2 linked regions of the Oryzias latipes genome follow. The protein of the gene in region 1 interacts with the protein of each later gene in a biochemical or structural test. Links are inferred from orthologs where the notes say so. Each region holds a gene or a part of one and is shown on either strand. Other genes may lie near its edges. The genes, in order: copa and cope.

Evidence for each region.
Region 2: the proteins of copa (region 1) and cope form a complex in vitro, tested with the Homo sapiens proteins (3 studies listed by BioGRID, with this or other methods). The link is inferred for Oryzias latipes from reciprocal best matches to the Homo sapiens genes COPA and COPE.

What each region holds. Positions count from the first base shown.
Region 1 is NC_019875.2:3,232,080-3,244,726, reverse strand, and holds the start of copa (coatomer subunit alpha), read left to right. Parts: upstream 1-6,752; 5' UTR 6,753-6,919; coding exon 6,920-6,959; intron 6,960-7,268; coding exon 7,269-7,382; intron 7,383-7,464; coding exon 7,465-7,538; intron 7,539-7,654; coding exon 7,655-7,735; intron 7,736-8,226; coding exon 8,227-8,303; intron 8,304-8,395; coding exon 8,396-8,505; intron 8,506-9,934; coding exon 9,935-10,044; intron 10,045-11,276; coding exon 11,277-11,376; intron 11,377-11,596; coding exon 11,597-11,815; intron 11,816-11,932; coding exon 11,933-12,083; intron 12,084-12,216; coding exon 12,217-12,283; intron 12,284-12,376; coding exon 12,377-12,452; intron 12,453-12,618; coding exon 12,619-12,647. Other genes in the region: pex19 (peroxisomal biogenesis factor 19), read left to right, coding at 602-688. UniProt on the Homo sapiens protein: The coatomer is a cytosolic protein complex that binds to dilysine motifs and reversibly associates with Golgi non-clathrin-coated vesicles, which further mediate biosynthetic protein transport from the ER, via the Golgi up to the trans Golgi network.
Region 2 is NC_019862.2:32,497,469-32,510,115, forward strand, and holds the start of cope (coatomer subunit epsilon), read left to right. Parts: upstream 1-3,925; 5' UTR 3,926-3,965; coding exon 3,966-4,067; exon of another isoform or gene 4,068-4,168; coding exon of another isoform or gene 4,169-4,174; intron 4,175-4,254; coding exon 4,255-4,317; intron 4,318-4,440; coding exon 4,441-4,541; intron 4,542-10,016; coding exon 10,017-10,169; intron 10,170-10,385; coding exon 10,386-10,439; intron 10,440-10,545; coding exon 10,546-10,627; intron 10,628-11,912; coding exon 11,913-12,068; intron 12,069-12,647. UniProt on the Homo sapiens protein: The coatomer is a cytosolic protein complex that binds to dilysine motifs and reversibly associates with Golgi non-clathrin-coated vesicles, which further mediate biosynthetic protein transport from the ER, via the Golgi up to the trans Golgi network.

The sequences.
Region 1 (12,647 bases):
CTGATTTTATTTTATTTTATTTTAGCTTCCAGTTTCCCTTAACTTTTGAGGGTAAAGTTTACCTTCATCCTCTGTAAAATATCTGCAGCTGCTTTCAAATTCATTTTTGCCCTAGATTTCTTGGAGGAACCAATAAACTGTGATACAGATTTCCCCCTAACCAATAACTGTCAAAGGGAAAGATGCCAACTTCAGAAACTTTCCAAAATTTTTTTGCTGAATTTGCTACCTTCTGGGTTTTCATTGTAGTTGTTTCAGCCGTTTTAAGAAAGCAGTGGGTGGATTTTCAAAAGTGCAACCAAACGACCTGACGTGCATCAAGAATGAGTCGGATGTGGAGAGAATCCAGTAGTTTCCCAAAATAAAACTTCAGTCAAAATCAGACTATAAATAAAATGGAAGAAATTTAGATTTTTTTTTTTCTTTTTTTGTACCTACCGTCTCACAGACCGGTACCAGTCTTCAGCCCAAAGACTGGGGGCTACACTTCCAGAGGATGCAAATGATAGAATTTTAGTTCAAATTTTCAATGACTTAAAAGAAATGTCTCCCAAAATAGTTTCTGCTTTGCTCCAACTTTCCTTTGTTTTTCACCGTTTAGCCTCCAGGCTTAAACTTTGACATGGAGTCCCTGAACCTCCCTGGAGGCCTTGGAGCCGGGGCCCCGGATCAGTGCTCCATCATGTGAGGGGGTGGAGCGGTTCGTCGGGAGATTTGGTGCCGAATGGTTCCTCTGTGTGAGTCGGAGAACAACAGACGGAGAGCCAGAGGTCAGGCAGCGGTGTGACCTGACAGTCAACACTGTTGACCTTTCAGATGGGTGTGAAAACAAGCAGAGGAGCTGCTGAAATCAACACTAAATGCCAACACACATTCTCTGTAAAAATCAAAATGTGAACACAGAAAATGTAAAGATTTCTACAGTAGTTTGTCGTCAGAAGCCACGCCTCCTTCAGAGTTATTTTAGCAGAATCTCTCCAATAAGAAGAAATGACCACTGCCGCTCTTTGTGTTGTTTTTACATGGCGTTTAGTCTACTTCACAGGTTTGAACAGTGCCTTTTAACAATAACCCTGATTATTTTAGCCTCTGAAACATTGAATAATCTGCTCTTTCAGCTAAGCAGCTCACAGTTAGTCTTTAAAAGTCAATTTGCTGTAACTTTTTTTTTTTTCCAATCAACAGAACCCCAAATTAGTGTGTGATAGAAGTAACAGGTTAACTCTTAATATGCAAAGAAGTATGTGTGTTTTTGTTAATTATTTTAAAGAAGAGAGTGTTTATGAGAAGAGACATTGGAGTACCTTAGAATGAGAACGGTTCTCCCTGGTGTTCCTCCTATCCAGCCACTGATTTGGAGTGATTTTGACCCCAGAAAACCTTAACTGTGTTCACAGCTGAGATCCGTTTTGAGTGGCTGTGCAGATGGGAATCCCTGTGGAGAAGATTCCTAAAAGGTGAAATAAACACCCAGGAGTGGATTTCAAAGTGTCTTTTTTTTTTTCCTTCCTAAAAAGCGGCAGAGCAGTAAACATCATGTTGATATGGGGGTGCTGAAAGCAGAGGCCCTGCTGAATAGAACCCCCTGATGTTGGCACTTTTTTGTGACGGCTGCCGGGTTTGTTGACTGGTGGGCTCTTTTCATGGGCTGCGATTATCTCTGAACTTTTGTAATGGCTTCTCTGCGGTGTTATCAGAGGGAGAAGTCCAGAAACGCCGGGTCTTCATAACTGCAATGAAAGGGTTCCGTCAAAGGCCTTTGTCAGCTCTGCACAGAGAAGAGGTCAGATTTGCATCCAGCACAGCTAAAGGGAGGCAGCTATGGGGGGGGGGGGGGGGGGGGGGGTATTTAGACCTGTGGTTTGCAGCACAGGGAGACTGAGAGCGGTTCAGTTCTCAGGACAAATGCTCCATATCATGCATAAAATGACCTACTGGACACTTTTTCTTGTACATATAGTAATTAAAAATAAAGATATGGTACAATGTGTCTGTGACTTGTGTTTTAGTAGTTCTGCTTCTATATCAGTTTCAAATTTCAGATTGATTACATTCATTTTTAGATATTGCACTCTTGTGCATGTGAGATTGACTGCTGTGAAGATCAACACAATGAACTCATTTCCATTTGAAACACGTGCTGCATTGCTTTTATCCTAAATTCCAACCCACTGTCTAAATATATATGATGTCCGATATTTCTAGTATTTATGTAACTAAAAGGTAAATAGATTGAAATATTAAAAATGAAGAACATTGGCATCTTTTTTTAAAAGTTACAGATGATTGATGACAAAATTGATGACAGATGACAAAGTTGTGGAGATTAAAAATCATTCTTTATTTCAACAGGTGAATAAATGAAACTTTATGTCAATGTGGCATTCCAGCAGGAAGGATGTTGGATATTGATCCCAATGGAAATGGTTATGTCTGCAGAAAACCACACTGAAGCTTTGACAAAGGGGGGAAAAAAAGATAAAAGAAGTTATTTGGAATTAATTTAATAATAGGAGTTAAAAGATATGAAAGTCACAGAGATACATTCAGGACCATAAATATTTGGACAGAGATGCATTCTTTCTCATTTTGTTTCTGTACAATACCACAGTTAATTTTAAAACAAAACTCAGATGCCATTGAAGTGCAGACTTTCAGCTTTTATAAATGGGTTGAACAAAAAGATTGCATAAAAATGTGAAAAACTAAAGCATTTTTTAAACACAATCCCTTCATTTCATGGGCTCATAATTAATTGGACAAATGAAATAGCTGAAAATAAAATGGTCATTACTAATATTTGGTTGAAAACCCTTTGTTGCACAATCCCTTCATTTCATGGGCTCGTATGTAATATTGCATGGACAGGTGTGGGCAATTCCCTTGTTATGTCATTATGAGTGAAGCAGATAAAAGGCCTGGAGTTGATTAGAGGACTTGTGCTGCATTTGGAAGATTTAGCTGTGAACAGACAACATGCGGTCAAAGAAGCTCTCCATGCAGGTGAAAGGAGCCATCATTAAGCTGACAAAACAGAAAAAAACCATGCAAGAAACTGCTACAGTATTAGGAGTGGCAAAATCAACAGTGTGGTACATCCTGAGAAAGAAAGAAAGCACTGGTGAACTCAGCAACGCAAAAAGACCTGGACGTCCACGGAAGACAACAGTGGTGGATGATGGCAGAATCATTTCAATGGTGAAGAGGAACCCGTTCACAACAGCCAACCAAGTTGTTGGGTTCAAACAACCTGCAACATCAGAGTTTACAAAAGGAAAGAAAGACAAGAGACCAAGGTACCTTTTAGGAGGAGAACGAACAGAGAATAATACCCAGTTACAATCTCTCTCCACTCTGGCACATATGCCTGTCACCTCCTCTTTTATTAAGTTTGTTGGGTTGTCCCTAAGTTACACATGCGCTGACCTCTAAGGAGGAGAAACAGATAAAAACACAGCTGCAGCGATATCAGAAAACATTTATTGTAACATGTCCATCCTTTCACAGTCTTCCCACATCATCTCTGGCCCTGCAAAGTCTTTCCTCACGGATAACTGACACAGAGCGTCCTTTTATTCCGGTCTGGAAGCAGATAACATGCTGATGTTGGGAAGATGTTAGGACAATCGGTTTCCTCCCAAGAGTTTCACCTTCACCTCCCTGTGAAACAGAACTTGGACACAGACACTTCTGCAAACATGATTATATCACCTATATAGCTAGGTAATTCATTAAAGCAAATATGAGATAACTTATATACATTATTCCAACACAAGTGAACAACACTCTCCAGGAGGTAGGCGTATCAATATCCAAGTCTACCAGAAAAAGAAGACTGCATGAAAGTAGATCCAGAGGATACACTGCAAGATGCAAGCCACTCATGAGCCTCAAGAATAGGAAGTCTATACTGGACTTTGCTAAAAAGCATCTAAAAAAGCCAACACAGTTCTGGAAAAACATTCTATGGACAGATGAAACCAAAATCAACCTCTACCAGAATGATGGCAAGAGAAAAGTCTGGAGAAGGCGTGGAGACGCTCCTGATCCAAAGCACACTACATCATCAGTAAAACACGGTGGAGGCAGTGTGATGGTCTGGGCGTGCATGGCTGCTAGTAGCACTGGGACACTAGTGTTTATTGATGACGTGACACAGGACAGAAGCAGCCCAATGAATTCTGAGGTGTTCAGAGACAGACTGTCTGCACAGATCCAGGTGAATGCAGCCAAACTGATCGGACGGCGTTTCGTAATCCAGATGGACAACGACCCAAAACATACAGCCAAAGCAACTCAGGAGTTTATTAAAGCAAAGAAGTGGAATATTCTTGAATGGCCAAGTCAGTAACCTGATCTTAACCCAATTGAGCAGCATTTCACTTGTTGAAGACTAAACTTCAGACAGAAAGGCCCACAAACAAACAGGAACTGAAAGCCGCTGCAGTAAAGGCCTGGCAGAGCATTCAGAAGGAGAAAACCCAGCATCTGCTGATGTCCATGAGTTCAAGACTTCAGGCTGTCATTGCCAACAACATCAACCAAATATTAGTAATGACCATTTTATTTTCAGCTATTTCATTTGTCCAATTACTTGCGAGCCCATGAAATGAAGGGATTGTGTTTAAAAAATGCTTTATTTTTTCACATTTTTCTGCAATATTTTTGTTCAACCCATGGAATAAAAGCTGAAAGTCTGCACTTCAATGACATCTGAGTTGTTTTATTTAAAATTCACTGTGGTAATGTACAGAAACTAAATTACTGGTAAAAAGTGTCTTTGTCCAAATATTATGGTCCTGTCTGTATGCATTGATATATGTAAATATCTGCACATATAACTGTATTGATATTCCACTCCTATGGTCTCCTCTTCGAGTGACTGATTTTCTTTTTTTGTTTTTTATCTTTTTGTAATTGGTCTCTGTGTTAGATCATACAAAATCCCAATTCTAAACAGACATGAAGATAGTCCACCTGCTGCTTTGGGCTTCCATCATTGTGAGTTTAATAGGTGTGATGGGCACCTGGACAAAAACAGCAGTGCCCTTTGTCCTAAAAATGCCTTGTACTTTCAAAACCAAACAAAACCCTTGAAAATAATTAAAAGCTCAAAACAACAAGAACATTTATTATAACGGACTGTCAATGGAATATCTGCCAATGTGGGTTCATCATAGAACTTGAATGGAATGGTTTTTTTTGCCACTTGTGTGTGGCGTTTGGAGCTTGAGTCACCAAAAAAGGAACAAAGTCCATCTGCTATTCATAAGAACTGAAAATAAATAAGTTAATGATTAAATATGTACAGTACAGACCAAAAGTGTGGACACACCTTCTCATTCAAAGAGTTTTCTTTATTTTCATGACTATGAAAATTGTAGATTCACACTGATGGCATCAAAACTGAATTAACACATGTGGAATTATATACATAAAAAGTGTGAAACAACTGAACATATGTCATATTGTGGGTTCTTCATAGTAGCCACCTTTTGATTTGATTACTGCTTTGTACACTCTTGGCGTTCTCTTGATGAGCTTCTAAAGGTAGTCACCTGAAATGGTCTTCCAACAGTCTTGAAGGAGTTCCCAGAGAATAATAATAAAAATAATTATTATTATTATTGTTATAGTTGTTGTCTTTAACAACAACAACAACAACAACAACAACAACAACAACAACAACAACAACAACAACAACAACAACGACGACGACGACGACGACGACAACAACAACAACAACAACAACAATAATAATAATAATAATAATAAGGCAAGGCAAGGCAAGGCAAGTTTATTTGTATAGCACAATTCGTACACAAAGTAATTCAAGGTGCTTCACAAAACAGAAAAGTGCATTAAAATCACAATACATCATAGAAATAATCAACATAAAATTTACTTTAAAAGAAAAGGAAGAAGAAAAAAAAAAAGATTTAAAAAGAAAGGAAGGAAAGAAAAGTGCAGATAGGACCTTTCAGTCATATACACGGCTAAACAGAAATGTTTTAAGTCTAGATTTGAACATGAACACAGAAGAGGCCTGTCTTACGCCTTCAGGGAGGCTGTTCCAGATTTTAGCTGCAGAATATTGAAACGCTGATTCCCCTTGTTTAGTTCTGACTCTGGAAATCAACAGGAGGCCGGTCCCTGAGGTCCTCAGAGTACGAGATGGTTCATATGGCACTAACATGTCAGAGATGTACTTTGGTGCTCGGCCATGGAGAGACTTGTACACAAGCAGAGCTGCTTTGAAGTCTATTCTTTGAGGTACAGGGAGCCAGTGCAGAGACCTGAGCACAGGACTAATGTGATCATACTTCCTGGTTCTGGTCAGGACTCGAGCAGCAGCATTCTGGATGTACTGAAGCTGTTTTACAGCTCGTTTGGAGAGGCCGGTGAGCAGGCCGTTACAGTAGTCTAACCTACTGGAGACAAATGCATGGATAAGTATCTCCAGGTCTCGCTTTGAGATTATGTTTTTGATTTTGGCAATGTTTTTCAGGTGGTAAAATGCCGCTGATGATAATAATAATAATAATAATAATAATAATAATAATAATAATAATAATAATAATAATAATAATAATAACTAATATTATTCGTAATAATTATTCTTGCTATTATCATACAGCTTTAGGGTAAGGAGGCTTTTACACCTAGAGCTTCTGCGTGTTGTCGCCTGGTTGTTGCTGTCGTGGAGCTTTTTGCGTCAAATTTTGACTTCAAAAACTTTATTGTCCAAAACCGGAAGACAAAACGGGCGACGTGTCAGGAAAAGAGAAGGGAATAAATGGGCGAAGGCAGTCTGGCCGCCTAAGTAACCTTTGTGCAGATTCACACTTTTTTTGTTTTTTGCTTGTTTGATTTTTGTCGCAAACATTGATCTGTGTTGGATAACAACTTACTAGTGACAATGTTAACAAAGTTTGAAACGAAGTCGGCCCGTGTTAAAGGTAAGCTAACCGCAGCTAGCTACATCATGCTAAAGTTAGTCGGTTGACGTTACTTTATCATATGCTCATACTATTAATGTCATATCTGTTCACAAATGTTTATCTAAATTTAAAAGTATACTAGTTTTAAAAATATTATAATATATGTTCTGCTGTGTTGTTTAAAAATGTAATGCTAATAGTACGTTTATGTAGCTAACGAGCTAATTGCTGCGCAATTTTGACTTGACATATCTGTGATATTATAGGAAATTTTGGCAGTGGTGTTTTTTAATGCCATTAATGGTTAAATAATTTGATCCTATTCAGGTCTGAGTTTCCATCCCAAAAGACCATGGGTTCTCGCCAGTCTGCACAACGGAGTAATCCAGCTGTGGGACTACCGGATGTGCACACTGATCGACAAATTTGACGAGCACGATGGTAGGAAAATTGTATTTTTTCGAATTATAAAGTAGCCATACTTGTTAGACCCTTTTTATTCCTAACGTGCTCTTTGCTATAGGTCCTGTTAGAGGGATTGATTTCCACAAGCAGCAACCTCTTTTTGTGTCTGGTGGAGATGATTACAAAATCAAGGCAAGTGCACCGACATGGCGTGAATAAACAGCACATTCAGCACGTGACTAAGCCTGGCAAGTTGTATATTATTTTTATAATTACATATGTTAGAAAAATTATTTTGTTTCGAACAGGTGTGGAACTACAAACTGAGGCGGTGCCTCTTCACCCTCTTGGGACACTTGGACTACATCAGAACGACTTTCTTTCACCATGTGAGTTGAACCGCCACGACAGCACAAGCTGGACTTTAACGATCATCTCTGTTCCTTGATCATCATTTATTTTTTCAGTTGCCACCACATTCAAAATATTCGGTCTACTCCTGCCTTCTCTTTACTTTTTAAATATATGCAAACAGTATTGTTCTTAGTATTTATATTAATTGGTTTTGCAAATCCAGTTTTACCTGAATGCACATAGTCGCTCTTTTCTGGAGATAAATTGCAATATCTGCGCCTGATATTGGAATTGATGGCACATTCTTTTGCTTTAAACTCAATATTGCTAAGTTTACAGAGACCAAGTGGCAGAAAAACTGCAGTGGTCATGTGTTAAGAGTGTTTTTTTTTTACCAAAGATACCACCTTGTATCTTTGGTTTTGATCTTAGATTTTGAAGGTCTTAAGCAAAATTTAGTTCATTTCTAAGGCTTCATATTTCCTTTTACTTTAAAGTAACTGATTAATGTCGGCCTCATGTGTAGGAATATCCCTGGATTCTCAGTGCGTCGGATGATCAGACCATCCGCATCTGGAACTGGCAGTCAAGAACCTGTGTGTGGTACGATATGGATGCTATATTTGAATGCACATTTTTACAATAAGAGTTAAAACTTCAAATTAATTGTCTTTCCGCCTCTCTTTTTCCGGCAGTGTGCTGACGGGCCATAACCACTATGTGATGTGTGCCCAGTTCCACCCTTCTGAAGACCTGGTGGTGTCGGCCAGTCTGGACCAGACTGTGCGAGTGTGGGATATCTCTGGTGAGGGCTTGGGGACAGTGGAGCAGATTTTAAAGTGGGCTAGGTTTGGGTGTGGGGGGTTGGGAACAGAGTGGTCTAAGGATGAGCGAGAAGATGGGAACAGGACAGATCAAGTCCCGACCCTTCTCTTTCTCTCCAACTTGTAAAGGACAGATCTCTGTGGGCTGTTTGCAGAAACACCTCTTCTTCATTCAGGACAGATGTAGACCCTCAGACAAAGAAAAGCTGCAACATTTGTGAATGTAAGGCCCCACAAGGAAAGGGGTCAAACATTTACTATGTTTGTCCCAGAATTAGAAAGAAAGAGGTGTTTCTGTGCCTTTGCATGCTCTTAAAACTCTGTATTTTTCTTCCTTTCACTTTATTTTATATATTTGCTCAAAATATGTATTTTCTGATACTTGCTTTAACTTTAATGTGAAGCTGTTTAAGATAAGGCTTTGTGACTCTCTAGTCTTGGATTTTCTGTGTATTGAGCATGATTGCATTCATTTCCACTGAACTCTACCTCTCAAAAACCCCGCTGCCCCTAGCATGTGTAGCCTTCATCTCTACATCTTTGTTCTGCATGATCAGATTTTATCAAAGTAAAACATTCATACTTTTTCTCTGAAACACAATTTTTTAATAAATTTGACCTGCTTTAGAAAAAAACAAACCTATTGGTAACTACTTACCTGGTTAAGCATGGTTGGCCATACTCACTAAGCAGCATGGACATTGTCCCCCCAGTGTTTACACTTTACAGCTAACCCCCTGACAATCACATTCCAGGATCTGTTAACAATGCACGTGACTAAACCCGCCCTCAACAGTGCATGTGTCTTCAAGACCAACTAATGTTCACGTTTACCATTCAACGCCCCATCAGAGCACATCTTTACAGAGCCACCCACCCTATCCCCATCAGCCAAGTCCACACTCCACGCGCCCTCCTTGCCCCCTGGAAACATCCACACCTGCACTTGGGTTCCTAGTTTTTCCCCGTCTGTCCTCTCAGGGCTCTTGAGCGGTCTGTTCACCACATCATCTTGTTGGGTGAAATTGCGGATACAATCAGTGTTTTCTGATGGTTGTTTTGTGGGCCTGTTTGAGTCTTGGAGGTTATCACTCTGTTGTCTAGTCAAATTATGTCGTTTTCATTAAATCAATCAACTCTCTTGCAACATTGGAGATGGTCTCCAGACTCGAAAAAACCGGTTATCAGAAAGCAGAGATGGTGCTGGTTGTTTCTACCCACTGTTGGTGTCCAGACGTTCAACAGTTCAGTTTTAAGTTGGTTTGCTATCCCTCTCCATGATTTTGCTCTCGTTGTGCTTACAGAAAAGCGTTTCCTTCCCTTTTCCCTCCCTACCTTGTGCTGTGACTGTGCCTCGTTTAACATGAATATGGCTTTCCTTCCTTGCACGCTGTGCTTTGACGGTTCCAGGTCTGAGGAAGAAAAACCTGTCCCCGGGTGCAGTGGAGACAGACGTGCGCGGCATCTCTGGGGTTGACCTTTTTGGTGCCTCAGATGCTGTTGTCAAGCACGTTCTGGAGGTGAGCCGCGGCCTACATATGCAGATTTTATTAATGCTCATGCTTTGTTTCACAGTCATTTTAGAAAGAACATCTCAATTTCTCTTTTAAAAACAAGGCAAGCTTCCCTTTGACAGGTTCTCGTTTGGATGGATGTGATGTTTGTTCATTTCAAATAGGATAACTGTTATTACTCAGGGAAAGATCTACACCTCCTCTTTTAGATTGTTTTGTTTCTTCTACAGATGATGGTAATAAAGTGTGAAAACAATATTATCAAACCATCAGAGGCCTTTCTTTAGAGCTGTGATCCTATTATATCCATTAAATATATTTAAAAGGGTATTTGTTCTTAAAGTAGTAGCAAGATTGTGATAAATGTGTTATTTTAATTTCTGTTTAAGTTTTAATAGTCTGTTTCTCAAATGAACTTTAGGGGTTATTAAGATTATTGCTCTTGATGTAATACATGATAAATGGATAAAATTCTTTACTTGTATTTAAGTTTACTTAATAAGTTTCAGAGTGTAATCTTTAAAGTCCCACTCTGATGATCTATTGATTTATTTTAAAAGTGTTCCCAGTGGGTTTTAAAAAAAGATTACTTTATGCTGTTTTTTGTAAAAATATATTGAGTTGTTTTGTGGGACATAGTTTCTGCAGAGCAGCAGGAGTTTATTAGGAGTTCACCTCAGAGTTGTGGGCAGGACCATTGGTGTGGTGAAGCCTGCCCATACGTCCTGTCATCCATCGGTTACACTCTCCCACTAGCTTACAGCCCCTCACGCTCCAACTTAACATTAGCGGTGCAACAATATAATGGCGAACAATATTGTAGCTATTTGGTCGTACAGTTTAGATCCAGATTCCAGCTCAGACGAGGAAAAGAAAGACGTTCATGGATCTATTTGGATGCACCAGACTGGGGCAGAGCGGGGAGCGTCTGGGTTGCCATTGTAGCTTCTGCGTCACACCTACAAGCTTTTTCCAACTGCCTTTTTTGTGTCTACTCCTGATTCACAGCAATTTGAATGAAGAAATACTTGGAAATGTCATGTTAAGCTTCATTTTCTTCATGATTGTCCTCCATTATCACAAAAAAAACACAAAAATGTGTTAAAAACACAATTTTCACCAAAGTGGGTCTTTAAAACAATGAAGACAACAGTACTTTAGGATGAGGACAGTTACACGTCAGCTGGTTTGTTCTTTGTTGAGGAGCAGAGGGACTCATTACATTTGTGTTAATGCAGGGGCATGACCGTGGCGTCAACTGGGCAGCCTTCCATCCCACCATGCCCCTCATTGTGTCTGGAGCTGATGACAGACAGGTGAAGATCTGGAGGATGAATGGTAGGCATCTTGACAGAATCCAAGGACACATTTATATAATATAAACCATCACTTCAAATGAGGCATCAAATCATTCAAGCTGTTGAAAGATGAAACATTTTGATCACTCTTAAATTAAGAAACAGAGATGCATTCTTCCTTAACTACCTGTAAAAGAAAAGGTATTTGTTTTTGCGTAATTCTTTTTTTTAAATAATTTTCTTTTTTTGTCTTTTGTCAGAGTCCAAGGCATGGGAGCTTGATACCTGCCGTGGCCACTACAACAATGTGTCCTGTGCAGTGTTCCACCCTCGCCAAGAGCTCATCCTTTCCAACTCTGAAGACAAGAGCATCCGGGTGTGGGACATGTCCAAGAGGACCGGAGTGCAGACTTTCCGACGGGATCATGACCGCTTCTGGGTGCTGGGAGCGCATCCAAACCTCAACCTGTTTGCAGCTGGTACCATTTTTTTTTAGTCTTGTAATAATAAAGAAGGAAAGAAAAGCACAGGGTTCTGATTGCACTCTGTCCTAGATTTGAGGTGAACCTTAAAGTGTTGTGTTTTGTGGCTTTCAGGTCATGACAGCGGGATGATTGTATTCAAGCTGGAGCGGGAACGGCCTGCATACGCCGTACACGGCAACATGCTGTACTACGTGAAGGACCGCTTCCTCCGCCAGCTGGACTTCAACAGCAGCAAAGACACTGCTGTCATGCAGCTCCGCAGGTTGTTTACCCTTTCTTTTGTAACAAAAAATGTTCTTTAATTGTGTTCTTTATGTTGATCAGCTATGTTGTGGTGCTCAAAACTAAACAGAGGTAGAAGTTTGATCATTTTTGTCTTGTTTTTCTTGCCTCAGTGGTTCAAAGTTCCCGGTTTTTAGCATGTCTTACAACCCTGCTGAGAATGCAGTTCTACTCTGCACTGTGAGTACGCCCCTAAAACCACAGTGAACATGAATGCACTCACTCAGGCTGGGCTTTCCAATGTTTTTATTGATTTATTTGTGCCTTTTCCAGAGAGCAACCAACCTGGAGAACAGCACCTATGACCTCTACTCCATTCCCAAAGAAAGTGACTCCCAGAACCCTGATGGTAAATAAAGATTAATCTTCTGTGCCGTTGAAACAAACTATTTTAGTTCTGTTTGTTTTTTTTACTACCAAGTATGACACATTGTTGTTAAATTCATCCAAGTAGCAAAGTGGTTACTTGGGTAGCATTTATCTATATTTATTTACACTTTTTTTTTTTTCTTTAGCACCAGAGGGTAAAAGGTCGTCTGGACTG
Region 2 (12,647 bases), on another chromosome or scaffold:
CTTATACAAACAGTAAACTTCAAGTATGCTGCCTCCATGGAGTATATTTCAAATTTAAATAGACTACTTATTGTAAAAGGGAGTTAAGCCAAAACCCTGGACTACTTTTTTTGTTTTTGTTATGATTCAAAAATGAAAACTTTGATTGTCTTTAATGGGATACAAAAGAACAAGAGACACCTATGGACAAAATGTAGATCTGGAGCATCCTCTGGTGGCTTGAGATGGTAAAACATTTACCATTGTGTCTAAGAAAAAATCTAGCCACAGGGGTTGCAAGCCAGTTACTTCTGTGCCGGTCCCAAGCCCGGATAAATAGAGAGGGTTGCGTCAGGAAGGGCATCCGGCGTAAAAATTGCCAAAATAACCATGCGAATCATCCACAACACTTTAGACATACCGGATCGGTCGAGGCCCGGGTTAACAACGACCGCCACCGATGCTGTTAACCTACAGGGTGTCGGTGGAAATTTGACTACTGTTGGTGGAAGAAAGAGGGGAGGCAGAAGGGTCCGTGGCCAGAGAGAGAAGGGAAAAGGCAGGAACATAGGTTTGAGAATAGGGACTCTTAACGTTGGCACAATGACAGGGAAAGGCAGAGAGCTGGCAGACATGATGGAGAGAAGGAAGGTAGATGTACTGTGTGTGCAGGAGACAAGATGGAAGGGCAGCAAGGCACGTAGTATTGGAGGAGGATACAAACTGTTCTATCATGGTGTTGATAGGAAGAGAAACGGGGTAGGAGTGATTCTGAAGGGGGAGTTTGTAAACAGTGTTCTAGAGGTGAAAAGAGTCTCAGACAGGATGATGAGCCTAAAGTTAGAAATTGAAGGGGTGATGGTGAATGTAGTCAGTGGGTATGCGCCACAGGTTGGCTGTGAGTTAGAAGTGAAGGAGAGATTCTGGAGTGAGTTGGATGAGGTCATAGAGAGTTTCCCCAGAGGAGAGAGAGTTGTTATTGGAGCAGACTTTAATGGACATGTTGGTGAGGGCAATAGAGGTGATGAGGAGGTGATGGGCAGGTTTGGTGTGAAGGAAAGGAATCTGGAGGGACAGATGGTGGTGGACTTTGCGAAGAGGATGGAAATGGCGGTAGTCAACACTTACTTCCAGAAGAGAGAGGAACATAGAGTGACATACAGAAGTGGAGGTAGGAGTACTCAGGTGGACTACATCCTATGCAGACGAGGTCATTTGAGAGAGGTTAATGACTGCAAAGTGGTGGTAGGAGAGAGTGTAGCCAGACAGCACCGCATGGTGGTGTGTAAGATGACTCTGGAGGTCAGGAAGAAGAAGAGAGGGAAAACAGAAAAGAAGACCAAGTGGTGGAAGCTACAGAATGAAGAAACTTGTGAGGAATTTAGGCAGAAGTTGAGGCAGGTCCTGGGTGGTCAGGATGAGCTTCCAGATGACTGGGAAACTACAGCAGAAATTATCAGGGAAACAGGTAGGAAGGTGCTAGGTGTGTCATCTGGAAAGAGGAAAGACGGTAAAGACACTTGGTGGTGGAATGAGGAAGTACAGGAATTCGTCCAGAGGAAGAGGTTGGCTAAAAAGAAGTGGGATGTAGAAAGGACTGAGGAAGGTAGACAGGAGTACAAGGAAGCGCAGCATAGAGTGAAGAGAGAGGTGGCAAAGGCCAAACAGAAGGCTTATGATGAGCTATATGACAGGTTAGACACAAAGGAAGGAGAGAAGGACTTGTACAGGCTAGCCAGACAGAGAGACAGAGATGGGAAGGACGTGCAACAGATAAGGGTGATTAAGGACAGAGATGGAAAGGTGCTAACAACCCAGGAGAGTGTACAGAAAAGATGGAAGGAGTATTTTGAGGAGCTGATGAACGTGGAAAATGACAGGGAAAGAAGGGAGGAAGATGTGGTTGTTGTGGAGCAGGAAGTAGCAGAGATTGGAAAGGATGAGGTTAGGAAGGCTCTGAAAAGGATGAAGAGCGGAAAGGCCGTTGGTCCTGATGACGTACCTGTGGAGGTATGGAAGTGCTTAGGAGAGACAGCAGTGGAATTTCTAACGAGGTTGTTCAATAGGATTTTAGAGAGTGAGAAGATGCCTGAGGAATGGAGGAGAAGCGTTCTGGTTCCGATCTTTAAGAACAAGGGTGACACGCAGAACTGCAGCAACTATAGAGGAATAAAGTTGATGAGCCACACAATGAAGCTGTGGGAAAGAGTAGTGGAAGCCAGGCTTAGGAAGAAGGTGGAGATCTGTGAGCAGCAGTATGGTTTCATGCCCCGTAAGAGCACCACTGATGCCATTTTTGCTTTGAGAATGTTGATGGAAAAGTACAGAGAAGGTCAGAAGGAGCTGCATTGTGTGTTCGTAGATTTAGAGAAGGCGTATGACAGGGTGCCGAGGGAGGAGCTGTGGTACTGTATGAGGTTGTCTGGAGTGGCAGAGAAGTATGTCAGAGTAGTTCAGGACATGTATGAGAGAAGTATGACGGTGGTGAGATGTGCTGTAGGTCAGACAGAGGAGTTCAAGGTGGAGGTGGGACTACACCAAGGATCAGCTTTGAGTCCTTTTTTGTTTGCTATGCTGATGGACAGGCTGACAGACGAGGTAAGACAGGAATCTCCCTGGACAATGATGTTTGCGGATGACATTGTAATTTGCAGTGAGAGTAGAGAGCAGGTGGAGGAACAGCTAGAGAGGTGGAGGTTTGCTCTGGAAAGAAGAGGCATGAAAGTCAGTCGTAGTAAGACAGAATACATGTGTCTGAACGAGAGGGATCAAGGTAGAAGCATTAGGTTACAGGGGGCTGAGGTGAAGAAGGTGCAGGAGTTTAAGTACTTGGGGTCAACAGTTCAGTGTGATGGGGAGTGTGGAAAAGAGGTGAAGAGGCGAGTGCAGGCAGGTTGGAGCGGTTGGAGGAAAGTGTCAGGAGTGTTGTGTGACAGAAGAGTGTCAGCAAGACTCAAAGGAAAGGTGTACAAGACAGTGGTGAGACCAGCTCTGCTCTATGGGCTAGAGACGGTAGCAGTGAGACAGAGACAAGAGGCTGAGATGGAGGTAGCGGAGATGAAGATGTTGAGGTTCTCCTTAGGAGTGACCAGGTTAGACAGGATAAGTAACGAGTACATCAGAGGGACGGTTCATGTTGCCTGTGTTAGCGACAAAGTCAGAGAAGCCAGACTGAGATGGTTTGGACATGTTCAGAGGAGGGATAGTGGATATATTGGTAGAAGGATGTTGGAGATGGAGCTGCCTGGCCGGAGGGCAAGAGGACGGCCAAAGAGGAGATATATGGATGTCTTAACAGAGGACATGAAGTTGGCTAACGTTAGGGTAGAAGATGTTCATGATAGAGTGAGGTGGAAAACGATGATTCGCTGTGGCGACCCCTGATGGGAAAAGCCGAAAGAGAAAGAAGATTTATTAGCAATAGTAATGACAGGAAAATTATTGCTAATAAATATTTAATGATTTATTCACTTTTCATGACACTTATGGTAATCTAACAATCTGTATTTGAAAGAAAGACAAAATGAGTTACTATGTCAATACAAGATGCTAAGATTGATTTTCATGTAAAGTGTTTAAGGTCAAACATTAGTTTTAAGTCTGGTTTGAGACCATTTTATAATTTTATTTATTACAAATTGGACATTTATATCATTCTTTGAGTCTGGATACAGTTTAATAAGGTTTAGACTAATAGTTTTAGTCCAGATTAAACTTTAATCTGGACTCTTAGCCATATTTGCAAACCCTTTACTGATTACCATGAATGACTAATATTTCCCCAAATTAATAAATAAAAACATAACAGAAAAAAACTAAACTTTTCCTAAATGTTGACGTGTTAAACTTCACTTTTTACGTTTTTCCCACCCATAATACTGCCATTTTAATCACGCTGCTGGCTAAACTACGTTTCCCACAATGCCCCACGCAATGTACTGGAGTGACGTATATTCTCCTACGTGTCCGGAAGTCAGCGGAGAATCATGGCGTCTCAACAGAGCGATGTTGATGAACTGTTTGACGTGAAAAATGCTTATTATATCGGCAGTTTTCAGCAATGTATCAACGAGGCTCAAAAAGTGAAGGTATGACGCATATTCTAATGATTTAAACGTGTTTAATTCTAATTTATTTTCCCATAATTTGGCTTTATCCGGTACCCAATTGCTAACATTTGTTAGCGGCCATGCTAGTAAGTGTCAAAAGGACTTTATTTGTTAAACTTGCTGAACCGAATCTCACTTAGTCTGTTTATTATTTATTTGTTCGTAGCCTTCATCCCCCGAGAAGGAAGTTGAAAGAGACACATTTTTGTATAGGGCTTACATCGCTCAGGTAAGTCCTGAAGTTATAATGGAGAAGCCTACTACTGTGTCAGTGTATTTTCTATATTGCTCACTGTCACTAATATTTTCACAAAGTCTCCAATAAAGATCGTAATGTTGTTCTGCGTTGCAGAGGAAGTATGCTGTTGTCCTGGATGACATCAGAGCCAATTCCCCAGCAGAGCTTCAGGCCGTGAAGATGTTTGCAGAGTATTTATCCAGTGAAAACAAAAGGTAAAAACTCAGTATTTCACGTTTCCCTTTACATCCAAATACAGCTGGGGGGTATTCCAGAAAGCAGGTTCTGCTAGCTCCCACGGTAAGTTTGAGGCTAAGGAAGTGGATAACCTCAGCTTTTGGTTCCAGAAATGGAGGTATGTTTCAGGGTAGGTCAAGTTGCCATAGCAACTCATGCTCTGAACATAACCTGGTCTGGAGTAGGTTTAGTTGAAGGTTAGTTTGTTTTCAGAGAGGTGAAGCAGCATGGCGTGTCCATTTGAAGATGATTTAGTGGATGAAGAAGCTCAGATAATACTTTTTCCACCGTGAGAGGGTGATAAGACCACATATGGATGTTGGAAAGAGAAACTTTTTACTTTGATCTAACTTATTTGCTTCAGTTAAGATGAATCTTTTTTATTTTTTGTCAAGTCGGTTTAAAAATAACACGTAGTTTTCAGACATTTATTTTTACTTTCATTCAAATTAATTCAATTAAGTAGGTGTAACTTTGGTGCTGCTGTTAGATCGGCACTGCAAGGAATTGTGGGATACCATTCCCTTTGCCTGTCTGGATTTGGGCTTAAATGTGGGTTTTTGACCAAATGTGTTCAGTTGTTTAGCTGTTTTACTGTGTTTTGCCGAGTTATTTTGTCCTACTATGCTAAAGCCTCTGCACCATGAGTGAGAGGGAGGGAGAGGATGATGAGTGTATATAGCACCTTTACTGACAATTGATGTAATAACAATTTTGGAAAATTCCTAGATCAATTTATGTACTCTGTACTTATAGTTTCATTCATTTTATTGTTATACAAATGCTTATATCTGCCAGCGCAAACTTAAACATATGAGAGTTCAAGAATTATAATTAATTAAGATGGAAAAAATATTAATCTAATTGGAGTAATATGAGATTTAGTTAGATACATATGTAGATTTTAGTTGTATAAGCAATTATTGAGTCTTATAGACGTCGAAAATTTGGTTAAATAAATTTAATTTGATTACTTGTTACCAACAGAAGTAATTAATTGAAGTTGGCAATATTGGATAAGTTATATATATAAACTTGCCCCTATCACCCTTTCGTGGGTGGTTTCTCACTCAAGCTCGGGTCCTCTACCAGAGGCCTGGGAGCTTGAGGGTTCTGCGCAGTATCTTAGCTGTTCCTAGCACTGCGCTTTTCTGGATTGAGATGTCTGAGATCTTTCCAGGTATCTGTTGTAGCCACTCCTCCAGCTTGGGGGTTACTGCCCCGAGTGCTCCAATTACCACAGGCACCACTGTCACCTTCACTTTCCAGGCTTTCTCCAGTTCTTCTCTGAGTCCCTGGTATTTCTCCAGTTTCTCATGTTCCTTCTTCCTGATGTTCCCATCGCTTGGCACTGCCACATCCACCACAACGGCTTTCCTCTGTTCTTTATCCACCACTACAATGTCTGGTTGGTTCGCCATTACCATCCTATCAGTCTGAATCTGGAAGTCCCACAGGATTTTGGCCCTTTCATTCTCTACCACCTTCGGGGGTGTTTCCCATTTTGACCTTGGGGTTTCCAGTCCATACTTTGCACACACATTCCTGTATATTATTCCAGCCACTTGATTGTGGCGCTCCATGTATGCTTTACCTGCCAGCATCTTACACCCTGCAGTTATGTGCTGGATTGTTTCAGGCGCCTCTTTGCACAGCCTACACCTTGGGTCTTGTCTGGTGTGGTAGATCTGAGCCTCTATTGCTCTGGTGCTCAGGGCTTGTTCCTGAGCTGCAAGGATGAGTGCCTCAGTGCTGTCCTGTAGGCCAGCCCTTTCTAGCCATTGGTAGGATTTCTTGATATCAGCCACTTCCGTTATGGTCCGGTGGTACATCCCATGCAGGGGTTTGTCCTCCCATGAGGATCTGTCCTCCAGCACTGTATCCTCTGCTCTCCATTGCCTGAGACATTCACTGAGCACACTGTCATTTGGGGCCTTGAGCTTGATGTACTTATGCATCTTGGATGTTTCATCCTGGATAGTGGCTTCTACGCTCACTAGTCCTCGGCCTCCTTCCTTGCGGCTAGCATACAGTCTCAGGGTGCTGGATTTGGGATGGAACCCTCCATGCATGGTGAGGAGCTTTCGTGTCTTAACATCCGTGGTCTGTACCTCTTCCTTTGGCCATCTTATTATTCCTGCAGGGTATCTGATAACTGGCAGTGCGTAGCTGTTTATTGCCCGGGTCTTATTTTTGCCATTGAGCTGGCTTCTCAGGACTTGCCTTACCCGTTGGAGGTATTTAGCTGTTGCAGCTTTCCTTGTTGCCTGCTCCAGGTTGCCATTTGCTTGTGGAATTCCGAGGTACTTGTAACTGTCCTCAATGTCTGCTATTGTTCCTTCTGGGAGTGAGACCCCTTCTGTGTGGACTACCTTGCCTCTCTTTGTCACCATCCGACTGCATTTCTCGAGCCCGAATGACATCCCAATGTCAGTACTGTAGATCCTGGTGGTGTGGATCAGGGAGTCAATGTCACGCTCGCTCTTAGCATATAGCTTGATGTCATCCATGTAGAGGAGGTGACTGATGTTTGCCCCATTTCTGAGTCGGTATCCATAGCCAGTCTTGTTGATTATTTGGCTGAGGGGGTTCAGACCTATGCAGAACAGCAGTGGGGACAGAGCATCACCTTGGTATATCCCACATTTGATGGACACTTGTGCAAGTGGCTTATATATATATATATATATATATATATATATGCGCGTCACAAGGAAAATGGAGATAAGATCAGAAACTCGTGCGTTTACTTTGTCTGTTCTTTTTCTCCAAGCAGAAACTCTTTCTTTTGCCGATGATGCAGCCGTGTTACTTTTTTGATGGACGTATAATCTTCATACGCCGTCATTAAAATCTCAGACTCCGTCTCACTGAAGTATAGCGCTCTCTTTTTTTTCACCACGCGTTTCCATGGTGACTCTGGAAATCGGTGATCCATTGAGAATGTCTTTATGTACCTGCTGTGCACGTGCATTAACCCAGGGTTACCAAGTCGACCGTAATTACGCTAACTCATATCCGGTCTTTTGGAACCGACATACCCAGAGTAAGCAAGTTCAGGCGGATTTCAGCCAGAGTTCAGGATTAAAGTCAGGGGAGTTTAAACATGACTTCTGGAATACCCCCCCCCCCCCCCCCCCCCCTTGTTAGGTACATAACCATTCGGCCAACAACAACTTTTTTTTTCTTTTTTTTAAACTTTATTGTACAAAACGGGAGTACAGTACAAAACACAATTTTACAAAATAAACTTCAAATATGCCCGGGGAGCATACATATGATATGCATTTTACATAAAAAACATTCAAGTTTTTACAACTTTCTTACAAACATACAGCTTTCTGGTTAAGACTTTTAGAGATAGTACTGAGACACATTTCAAGTTGTTTGATTTAATCTGTGGGAAAAAAAATAGAAGTTGAAAAAAATGGAATTTATGAATATAAAATTTGCCAAATATAATAATAAGATTAATTATGAGGTTTTTTTTTACATGAGTTCAAGTTTTTACTATGAAAGCCAAAAATTATACATTTAAATTTCAGAGTGAGGTTGGGGTGAATCTGTTTTTTTGAGAAATTGTAAACACTTTTTCCAAGAAATTCCAATTTCAGTACAGTTCCAGAAAAGTACTTGTTCTTTGCAAAAAGTACAGTTAGGATCAATTGTTTTGATGTGTCTTAGCATGAATTGATCGGTGGGTAAATTTTGTTCATTATTTTAAAATAAACTTCTTTATTTATTATTTATCATAAATGTTTGGGTCCCACTTCAGCCTTTTCTCCAACTACTGTTGGGAACAAACCGTCTCCAGTAGTTTTTGGTACAGAAATGACCTCGCTTTGAGACAGGCTTTCAACAACCGTTTGGGGTCCTTCAGGTCCCGGGACTAGTGCTGACGTCACATGATGTGATTGGCTGTCCGTTTGTCCGATGACGTGTCAGATAGTGATTGATCTGGACAAATTACTATACTCCATAGAAGACGATATAATGAAGTCAGTTGTAAACAAACAGAGCTCCGACATGGAGGGAGATTATCTTCTAAACGTGCTTTTATTACTGTTATGGTTATTAATAAGTGCATTGCAGACTAATGGACTGTGGTCTGAACCCTCCTCCGGACCGAACACTATAACAAAGCACCTTCCCTGGCTGCAAACACGAGACTCCAGCGCTCAGAGTCACGGTTCTCTGGAGCAGCAGCTTCATTCTAACAGCCACAGATCTTTTCACAAAGTGGGTTGTGGCAAAATCTCTCCATAAACACTATAAAGAATAATGTCAGACATAACCTATGATGGAAAATAACTTTGGGTTACAAAAGGAAACGTGACATGAAAATATGTAGAGCCTGAGCAGATCTCCACGCTACGTAGTTTGTCCAAGTTGGCCCACCGTAGTGTGACGTCATCCTCAGTGGAAAGGACCACGAATGGTTTTTGCAGGCTGTATGGTTATGGTACCTACACCGTCATGGTTTTACAAAATTTTGTAAAAGCGTTGGAAATGTTGCCTTTTGTTGACCCCCATGTTTGGTTTTATAATCACACCATCATAATAAGCCATTGTCCTTCTTTAAAGCAATTATTAAAATCAAGGACACTGATAGAAATTGAGTTTTTGGTGTTTTAAACATGTTCTTGTAGTATTTTTCTCATGATGAAGGATGTATATAAAGGTATTAAAGAGTATAACAGCGTTTCTGAGTATTTCTTTATTGACATCATGACGGATCAGGAGCTGATGCTCCATCCTGATGCATCAGCTGGCAGATCTGAGTTCGTCTTTGTTTTCCTCGTCTGAGCCGTCGTCTGACTGTACGGCTGCATGGCGCCAATATTGCTCGCTGTTTTGGTTGCACTGCTAATGTTAGCTAGGGGCTGTAAGCCAGTGGGAGAGCGTATAGAGAAAGGGATTAGGGGATATCGGTGGAGGGTTACTTCCACGTCAACAGTCCCATCGACAACTCACTCAGAGAGGAATTTCTGACTATCACTGTGTAGAAAATGTCTTTTGGCTAAAAACTGTATAATCATATTTAAAGACCACTTGGATCAATTTTTCAATGGATACGAATATAGTTGGAGAGGGACTTAAATGGTTTAACAGCTTGTAGAGCAGTCAGCTAAAACTCTTAGTAAAGGTTTAGTGTTATTGCCTGATGTGAGTCATTTTAGACGTAGTCTCTTTTTTTGAATGGATGTTCTCAATGTCACGTCTTTGTATGCATAGAAAAAGCCCAAATAAACTGCAAGTTACTCTGAATAAACCATGACATCAATACTTTTGTTTGCTGTGCTTTTTATTAGTAGTGTTTTCTCACTCATCAGGACAATGTTTGAACAGAATGCGGTTTATGACCTTTTGGCATATTTTCGGTCTACGTTGATGCTTCTCAGCTTCAGTCATTACAGATTTTATTTGGAGTTTCTTCCTCTTTTCTTTGTTAGGGATGCTATTGTTGTGGATTTGGACAAGCAGATGGCAAAGAGTGTGGATGCTGCTAACACCACCTTCCTTCTGATGGCTGCTTCCATCTATTACCACGAGCAGAACACTGATGCTGCTCTCAGAACTCTGCACCAAGGAGAAAGTCTGGAGTGGTAACCATCCATGTTTGATGTGACACTTCACCAGTCCTGGTGACCTTACAGTTATAGTACTGACCTTATAGTTTCATTTCCCTGTATTTTATCCTGACGACTGCTAAATCAATAATTATGTATTTATGTACAACAACCTAAACCCCTCTTCCTTCTTCATTTATTTGAAATGCATTGTCATCATTGAAACCAATGTAAACCTTGTTTTTCCTGCAGCATGGCGATGAGCATTCAGGTGCTCCTGGGTCTGGATCGAGTAGACTTGGCGAGGTCTGGAGTTCTTTTCTGTTCGTAAACAGATGTAGTCCTGCTGTATAGCTCTGCTTTTAACATTGCAGATGATTGTGGCTCTGATATCTGTGACATTATTTGACAGGAAAGAGCTGAAGAAGATGCAGGAACAGGACGAGGATGCTACTTTAACCCAGCTAGCCACAGCCTGGGTCAACATTGCTGTGGTGAGGATAATGCCTGTTTAAAGGCTTTTCTCTGGGAATACCACTAAAATACAGCAGTGTTTCTGTGTAGCATTTTTGGACTTGTGTGGGCAGACATGCTTGTTTAACGTGTGCGGTTTTCATTTTAGTTCCCTGGAAACGCAAAACCAGGAGGGTAGGAATGAGCTAAAAGTTTGTCTTTTTTTTGACGGTTGTTGAACAGAACAGCCAGGAGTGGGACACAGCAGCAAGACTCACCCTATTAAAAATAGTTCTAAAAAACAATATTCATTATCAGAGGTTTGCTGAAAAACAAATGAACAAATTCACAATGAAAGATTTTTGATTCTATGATCACTGAGTTTGTCTTCAATAAACTGTAATGTGGGAGTTTTTTAATACTCTTTAGCTCAGTCAGATAAATATTTCTGGGTCCATCTCTGCACTTCTTCAAAAAGTTAAAAGTGTTAAAAGACAACTTTGTTAAAGCAAAATGTTAAAGGAATTAAAGAGTAAACTAATATGCTAATAAAACTACAAAGATAAGCAAAGTATTGAATCAGTATAATTGATTTAGGTTCACTTTGTGGAACATCTTATAAAAATAGGCCGTTTATTTCCTTTAAAGAAAAACAAGTTATTTTTCCTGCTTTGTTTACTAAGAAAAAAAGGTTGGAAGAAAGCAAAGCATGCATGGAATTTGTCTGAACCGGACGTTTTTTTGCATGTAACCATGGCGACCAACCTAAACCTGAGCTCGTAGCCGTCATTGCAGGTTTTTGGATGGATTTAGAACAGGCAGGATTTTACAGAGAAATACGCAGAAGTTGCTCCAATTCGATGCAAAAGTTTGGATGTTTGTTTTTGACACGCTGCCAAGGCTGGCTCTAGGATGACATCATGAAAGGGGCGGAGCGAAAGGCGGGGCCTCAGAAATGAGTCGTCTTACTCCGGGTTGGAAAAAAGCTCAGGAAAATAACAAATATTGAAAAAGAAAATGTGTTCTTTAGTGTGTCAAAGGTAATATATTATAGACATGGATATGGGTTACTCTAAAAGGCTTCAGAATAGTAAATGGACCCTTTAAACAAAGACTTGTATTACACGGGATGAAAGATATTTCATCTGTGCAAATTGTGGTTCTTACATTTTTTTAACAATCCTATTTTCCTTTTAGTTTCACTTGTTTTCTGTAGCTACGTGGAAACTTAAAATAGCATAAAGTGCACAAAGTGATGTAGTTTTTTGTCTCAACCCCATTCAGAAACATGCAGAGACGAAGCTGGACTTTTTATGGTTGTTTCAGGGCGGAGAGAAGCTGCAGGACGCCTACTACATTTTCCAGGAGATGTCTGACAAATACTCTGCAACGCTGCTGCTCCTGAATGGACAGGCGGCCTGTTACATGGCTCAGAACAAGTGGGAGGAGGCGGAGGGCGTCCTGCAGGAGGCCCTGGATAAGGTTGGAGGCAACCTTTGAACTGGAAAATTAAGAGTGGGTGGTGTGCAGACATAGTCGGTGCATAAGTGTTTATTTGGTGCCTTTATAGCCAGCAAGTGTTGCCCATTTATGCATTTACATTTTTAATGCCTAATGTCTGCAGTACATAGACATTCTGCAGGACCAAAGATCAATTAGTGTAAAATAAACATTTTTGGGTTTGAATAGAAGAAACACTGTTCATGTTCCTCTGAAAGCACGTTTTTTTGCTAAATATTTCCAACCCTAAATGTGTCATTTTGGTTTGTTTATTTCAGCAGCTAATGTTTTAAATAGTTTTTTGATATACACTTAACTCAAATAGTTAAATCCAACTTAATTATTTCAAGAAGAATCCTTTAGTTGAATAAAACATAAGAATAAACCCTGGTTCAAGTCCCGGCTGGGGGAGAAGGCAGAAGATGAATAATTATCAGAGACTGTGTTTCTGTTTTAGGACCAGCAGGGGGCAGCGCCTGCTGTTCTAAATTTCCTGTTTTGGTTTTTATTGTTAAAAAACATGATTAACCCTTGTGCTATCTTAGATTACCCCCCCCCCTT